2 linked regions of the Oryzias latipes genome follow. The protein of the gene in region 1 interacts with the protein of each later gene in a pairwise test. Links are inferred from orthologs where the notes say so. Each region holds a gene or a part of one and is shown in the gene's direction. Other genes may lie near its edges.

Region 1 (3,754 bases):
CATCCCACTTTCGGGTGAGGAACGGCCTCTTCCTGCTGATGATCTCCCCGGCGAAAAAAGTGGTCAGGGTCGGATATTCCTACGAAAATGTGCAACTGGATTATACCAACAATCTTGTTTTGTAAACTTTACAGCGTTAAGGCTAGGTTATCGCTATGTATAAATCATTAATAGAAAATTAAGACGTTTAAAAATATTCTAAGCAAATCGATCCCTTAATTAAAAATATCTGCACTTCAGAGGCAGAACAAAACAAAAAACTATGTAGAATTATTTGGCTCACGATCAGTTGGACTAATATTTAGTCATTGCAAGAAAAATTACACAAAAGGTGGAGGAAAAACTTGCAAAAACATTTAAAATTCTAAGTCCAGTTCATCCACATGTACATATTCCAACATGAATCCTCTAAATATGAACAGAACTGACCTCTGTGAGTCCTTTTATTTTCAAATAGCCACACAAGTAGGAATCCTCCATTGTGACATGCTGTAACAAATAATAAACAGAACTTTTAGGTCAAATCTCCACTGAATTTATGTTAAAAAAAATAACAAAAACAAAACTTGACGGTCAGAAGCTGCAGTTTCTCAAAAAATGTCAACAGCCCCTAATGTTGCAACATTTAAGCTAGTTGTGATAGTTTGTGTTAATTTAAACTGGTAGAAAATTGTGCAGCTGGTTGTTGTTAGTCGGTGTTGTTTGGGCGCAGTTGCTCTGCTACTCCCACCACTACACCCACAGTTGGTCCAGGACAGGCCGGGACCCCCTTTTTTTTTCAGCTGTCACTCTTCCAGCCGCCACTTTGACACATCACCCGAAAGCCTCGCGCTCGCAGTACGAAAAGCAACATTTCCGCCTCGGTGCCCCCCACCTGTAAGACCACCTCAACGTCGTAGGAGTTCCCTTTGCTTTTCTGGTGGCCTCTGAACTTGGAGCCGCTGTACAGCAGCGACGTGACAACACCGGGCTGGTGAGTGTTTATCGGCGGCAGCGGGATAAGCGAGGCCGAGGATGCAAAGGCCGCGGCCGGGAACTCGCTGAGATATCCAGCGGGGACAGGCATAGCTCCAGCTTCGCAGGCTGAACTCCAACCGCGGTCAACGGCCGTGCGGCAGCGGGACTCGGTCAACCTGTACGACCAGCCAGAAAGAAAGTCCCGAGGAGGTCCTCAAACATTCAAATTGCTCTTAATTGCGCCACAGTTCAGTTTGCGAAGCATCAAGCTCCCCAGAACTAAAAGTGGACTTCGAAGCTGCGCTGTAACCAGTAGCAACGGCTTATCTCATTGGTCCAACAACTTCACCCTCGAAGATCGTCGACGCTCATTGGCTGAGCAGGCGGAAGAGTATTCGTGAACATTTTTGATGTAGTTTTTAAGTGATGTGTAAGCGTTAGCAGTGCCAAAAATAAACTACATTTCCCAAAGCATGCAATGAAAACATTTTGTAGCTTTGTAGCATCGAAGGTCACACGCGTGGTTTTGAACCGATGTGTTACTGTAAGCTAGATGAAAACCTTAATGTTTAACAACAGATTTATTGTAGAGTCAGGTTCATTATACACTCAAGATCTGTTTGTTCAATGTGGTACTTTAGTGCGTGAGAGACCGGCTTAAGAAATCGCTAGTGAATCGTCTTTTTTATTGTAAACAGTATACGTCCAAATTTAGGTATGAATATGTTTAGACGTGTTTTTCAACTTCGAAATTCCTTTGGAAATGTAATTTCAGTTTGCAAGTCGTGTCCCAGTCATCAGTACTCCAAGTGTTTGTCAAAATACTCCACTGCATCTACAGGTAAACGTGTTTATTTTGACATTACTATTATTAATTATCAATATGCTGTGTGCTAATCATGTGCTACATGTTTTGCTATTTGACAGAGAGGAAGAGATTTTATCAAGATGTCAGCATATCTCAAGGAGATGGTGAGTCTTATTTAAAATTTAAAATAATTTTATTTATTGTTCCAGGGAAGACCAAGATTGATTATATTCTCTAATTTTGTGACGATTTTGTCCATAGATGGTTTGTATGAAATAAATCTGGATAGAAGGAAACTCAAAACTCCAGGAGGGAAGCTGTTCACAGTACCAAATGAAGCCCTGGCTATCGCCGTGGCAACAGAGTGGGATGCTCAGAGGGGGACACTCAAGTTTTATACCATGCACCTTGTATGGGATATTTTTTCTGACCTATTTACACCACAGTGTGTAGCCAGCCGTACTCATATGCCGGTTGAACTTTTCTTGCAGACCACTTTGTGCAACACGGCTCTGGACAACCCCACCCAACGCAACAAGGAGCAAATGATCAATTCAGCGTTGAAGTTTTTGGAGACTGACACGATCTGGTATGGATTTAGCTTTTATACTGTTTCTGTCCAGAGTTGATGATTATTTGGCTCATTTATGCCGGTTACTCAGTTTAAAAGATAAAACACCTGTATTTCAAATCAATATTTTACTTGAATGGAGAAAAAATGTTCTTAATCTAGAGAGAAAAGCAACAAGGACTTCAAAATAAAAGCACCTAACAGAAATACCAAAACAATAGAAAATTCAAAATTAGGTTTGTTTAGATAAAAAGTACCCAAACAAATCCTGGACTTGTGAGATGCAACTACATCTAATATGTTTTTTTTTTTTTCTATTTCTCTTTGTAAAAAATAAAACGTTATCTGCCATTCTGTGCTCTTTTTTTGCAATTTTTTTTGCAAATAATAGTCAAAATGCAATTACTTTTTAGCTTTTTGAAAATGTTCGAACCTATTAATATAATTTAGACTTTTTTTTTCATTATTATAAATTATACTTGTATAATGAGATATATTGTTTAACTGTCAACTATGTATTAGATAATCCCTTTAGTTCTTTAAATTTATATATTACATATTTATTTATTTCCCTTGTCTTTTTAACTTTTTACACATATTTAAAAAAAACTTATTATCTTATTCAGAATTTAATTTAAACATTTTATTGTGGTCCTGAAATATTCAACTTCTTTACACTTGTCTGCTTAATTGTTTTATGGATACCTTAGTAGTTTTAGCAAACAGATTTGCATCAGTCTTTTATTTACAATTATTATGTTTTAGCTACTTTATTGTGTAGGTGTGAATTTGTAATACATTTATTGGCACTATATATCTTTTTACATTTTCTATTTACTTTAGCATATTAGCTTAGGATTTAGCAACGTTCACTTTCTTAATTTCTTTAGCTAATTAACAATTTTATTTTACTGTTTTTTTGTGTTGATCCTTTTGTTATTGTGATTATTATTAATAATTATGCAGTGTATTTTTAGTTATCTCCCTTTATTTGACTAATGTAGCATTTTGCACTAAACTGTAATGCCACTGTAAAAGAAAGCAGATGTTTTTAGCTTATTGCAGAAAACTAGCATTTTTGTTTATGGAAATAAAATAAAAGAAATGAATTTTGGAACTTCTATGAATTTCATATACTAGATATTTGCAGGAGAAACTTTTTTTTCTCGGTCCATTGTCAGATGATTCCAGACTCCAAAGCATTAAAAATAAAGAATTACTGTGAAAATGAATGCAACAAACTTTTTCTTTGACCTAATTTCTTTAATAGGACCATCATTGTCTGGCCAGTAAAGTGAAAGCAAGGTCTGTTTTGTTTTCACCGGAGATGGTTGCCATATACCTGACTGTGGAGCAGGCTGTGCTGCTCTCTTATAGCATCTGCCATTTGGCTGCCTCTTTTTTTTAAGTTTCATTTT
Region 2 (3,754 bases), on another chromosome or scaffold:
TGTCTGCTAAAACCAGCCAAACTGCCCCTTTGTCACGGGCTCTGGCTCGAGTTCTCAGTGCTACTGACAGTAAAGAAAACGAGGCTGACACCAAATCCGTCCCTGGATTAAGAGATTTAACAGAAGATGAAAATAAAGGTATGTTTCTAATTGTTTGTGTAAATTTATAAGGCAGTACTACTTCTGTTGTATCCTAATGTTTTGGGGAGTCATCAGTAAAATAGTCCCTCTGGTCTACAGTAGAATTTTTTTTTTGCCCTTTATTTTTATACTTAATTTTTGTTTTTTGGTGGTTTTGATCTGACTCTTCAGGTAAACATATTTTGCAACCCAGTTTGTGTGTTTCATACAGCACTTTTTATTCAGTCTGACATACAAGTTTAATTTATCTACTGAAAAGATGTCAGTGTTGTAAAATAATATGCTTGACGGAATTAAATAATATCTGAATTTACTTTATATAACACTTTCAGCTAAACTGTAGAATTTATTCATCATCAGCATCAACAATATATATTTACTTTGTTTAAACTTATCACTTGTATTTCCTTAATTATCATAATAATGGGAAAACAATTTGGCTTTTTTTCTCTAACCTGCTCCACCAACATAAGCATGTCCCTTACAAAACTTTACAGACACATACACACACATACTTCCAAAAGGTTTTAGAAAACAATGCTTAAACATTCAAATTACCATTAAAGCTGACAGATCTAATTAGAACTAATACTGGATTTGGTATTGATCTTATAGACATTGCTAACGCTTTTAGTCAATGACATGACGTCTCACCTCCTGGGACAGACTGTCCAGGGTGTACACACCTTCGCCCAGCATAACCGTTACAGGTACTGTTCAATTCAATTCAATTTTATTTGTATAGCCCAAATTCACAACAACAGTCGTCTCGATGGGCTTAGTATCGGTAATTGAAAAAGTGAAACATGAACTCAAAAGGATCATGAATACAAAGAGTTCAATAGGAAAATTCTAAAATGAACTAACAAACTGACTAAGCTATACTGGCATCCCTGCCCTTAAACCCCTTTCACGGTAAGGAAAAACTCCTAAAAAAAACGGACTCCGGAAAAAACGAAGAAACCTCAGGGGTGCCTCCATGAAGGAGGGATCCTCCCCCAGGACGGACAGGCGATTTACCAGAACTCTTAGAGAAGAATTAACTTATCTAACTCTACAACTACATATTTAAAGTCCAGCAGACGAGCTTTATCCAGACGGAGTTGGGGGGACAGTAAGGGGCGAGAGTCGAGCAGGAGACAGGATCCAGAGCCAGGTGTCAGGGCAGGAGCAGAGACGAGGTACACGGTCAGGTGCAGAGCAGAGACGAGCCAGAGGCAGGATCCACAGCCAGGTGTAGGACAGTAGTACTGTTTGGTGATTTGGTTCGGACGGGTATCAAATTGCACAGCGCCGCTGAAATCGCGCTGCTGCCAGACCTTTGCACCACACCCGTCGCTTAAATCACACCACTGGACCTCAGCACGCGTCTCTACCATGTAATTAACTTTGAAAACTGGCTGCCTCTGCCGCGCCACTCGCGTTCGGTGTGAACACAGCATTGCCCTATCCATAAGACATGCTCCTAAACTTAACCCTTCCTCTGGGTCCGTGCGGCCAAGAAAAAAGTTTCAGCACTGGCTGCACGTATTTGGAAAATTACGTGTGAATAGTCACTTTCTTTCAGGCATTTCATTGTATTTGGTGTGAATTGAACAATCTGCATGTGCTATATTAAAACAGTTCTGAGCCACAGCTAGTGTTGCTGGTGCAATGTAGCCTAAATTATAATGTAATTCAAAGCATTTTTCATGGGCTAGTAAAAGTTATTTTTCGTGTGTAATTTTATTATACAGCAGGGTCTGATACACACAGAAAATATGTCACTTCACCGTTTCTGAGAAACACCTCTATGTCTGTCATTTGTGCCCCCCCTCTTGTGCCAAGCTCTTCACTCATGGAAGACACAGCTTGCAGAAAGGGGAGGGGTCAGGGGCGGGGCTACCAGCTAAGCACCAATGACCACGCCCACGTGGAGGAGATTTTGGAAACGGAGGCTTAAGACAAACATGAAATGTGGCTTTTTAAGACAATTATGTTGTGGGATTTTTGTTATAATTTTATAATCATAAATAGAAAACCACTCGGAATGTTTTTGTTTAAATAAAAAAAGATCTTGGGGGACTAAACACATCTCCCCTCCTTAAACGGTGTCACGTGATCACTGTTCTACACTGAAAGAGTCTGTTGGAGCGGGCGGGTCGATGCAGCAGGTCCAGCATTATGTAAATGAGCAGCTGCTGGGTCCAGATTAGGACTGTGCTCGGGATCAGACGAACGTCCTGAAGCCACGCGGCGCGTGTCTGCACGGTTTTCCACGTGCTTCGGCGGACTGTTTGGTGATGCCCCGCTCGAAACTGACCGCACGTGCAGCAACAACAATCGTGGCGGGGCAGAGAAGCTGCTGTTCTGAGCATGCTCAGTGAGCCCACGCCCCCCGTCCCCCGCTCATTGAGTTAAACTCGCTCTACTTCAGAGCATCTCTGTCCTAAAGATAACAGACTCTGAAACCAAATAACCTCTTTTATTGCAGTTAGAGACCGTCTGATCTCCACTAAAAGCACAACAGAATGTTATTACCATTTTATTTTGACAGTACAGACAATATGACTGTGCTGCTTAGCTTGGTGTGGGGTTTAGAGAGACCAGGCTGTATGTAGGTCGGGCTGGGCTTAAGCAGCTTAGCTACGTCAGCCTAAGCTGGGAGGAATTCATCCAAAACCCTCTGCAGTAGGCGGGGGCCTAAGCGAGGCTGGCCTAGTTAAGCCTGATTCTTATTGTGTGCAGCACATCCTGTTTTTGTTGTGCAGCGTAGCTGTGAGAGAACCCAGCAGTGTGTGAAGCCATGCACCTGTTAGCTACAGTTTACCATTTAAACCAGAGAGGGGAGATGAGACATGGAGGGGGTTAGATCTATGGACCAAAGGAAGATGGCAGCAAGGACTAAAAACAGGACGGATTAAAGAGCCACCGCATTGAGTGTAGAGTTTCTTAGAAGGGTGACAGCATCTGATCTGACGCAATCTGAATCCATTATGCTATGAGATGGCTTCCAGCTCCATGTTTCCGTCCAGCATGGTGGGAAAGGCTCGGTCCTCCAACTTCACCCTCTCTGAGAAGCTGGACCTGTTGAAGCTGGTATGTCCACACATCCGCATCCTTGAGGAGCACACCAACAAGCATGCGGTCATTGTGGACAAGAACAAGTGCTGGGACACTGTGGCTGAGCAGTACAATGCTTTGGGAGGAGACAGACCCCACCGCACCGCTCAAGGCCTCAGGACCCTCTATAAGAGACTAAAGGAGTCGGCCAAACAGGAAGTGATGCAAAGGAGACACGCCCAGCCGGAGTACAGAGCCAGCATTTCCGAGCCAACCAGGAGGATTATGGAGATGATTCCTCACCTGTTTCACCACGTTCCCATCCATGAGAAGGACCAGGCACTGCGCAGGTATGCTGTGACCTACACCTGTTCTCAGACACACCAAAACCTTTAAGAATCTAAAGAGGACACAAAAAAAGAGAGCAGTTTGACTCAGATGTCTCAAACACAGAGAATTGTCACTTTAATCTTGATATGCTTCTATAATATTTCTTTTCATATTTAAGTTGTTTTTTAGGTGTATATAATTATTAAACACAAGTTTTTAAATTATCTAATGTCAATTTGAT

Evidence for each region.
Region 2: the proteins of atpaf2 (region 1) and fsbp interact in binary tests that used the Homo sapiens proteins (3 or more experiments, as listed by UniProt). The two-hybrid records come from large-scale screens. The link is inferred for Oryzias latipes from reciprocal best matches to the Homo sapiens genes ATPAF2 and FSBP.

What each region holds. Positions count from the first base shown.
Region 1 is NC_019877.2:3,256,399-3,260,152, forward strand, and holds the start of atpaf2 (ATP synthase mitochondrial F1 complex assembly factor 2), read left to right. Parts: upstream 1-1,430; 5' UTR 1,431-1,674; coding exon 1,675-1,798; intron 1,799-1,884; coding exon 1,885-1,929; intron 1,930-2,026; coding exon 2,027-2,175; intron 2,176-2,256; coding exon 2,257-2,354; intron 2,355-3,754. Other genes in the region: gid4 (glucose-induced degradation protein 4 homolog), read right to left, coding at 1-79, 430-489, 875-1,066. UniProt on the Homo sapiens protein: Plays a role in the assembly of the F1 component of the mitochondrial ATP synthase (ATPase).
Region 2 is NC_019874.2:17,752,079-17,755,832, reverse strand, and holds the start of fsbp (fibrinogen silencer-binding protein), read left to right. Parts: upstream 1-1,216; 5' UTR 1,217-3,126; coding exon 3,127-3,533; intron 3,534-3,754. Other genes in the region: DNA repair and recombination protein RAD54B, read left to right, coding at 1-138. UniProt on the Homo sapiens protein: Transcriptional repressor that down-regulates the expression of the fibrinogen gamma chain. Represses transcription of GSK3B gene promoter via its interaction with APBA1.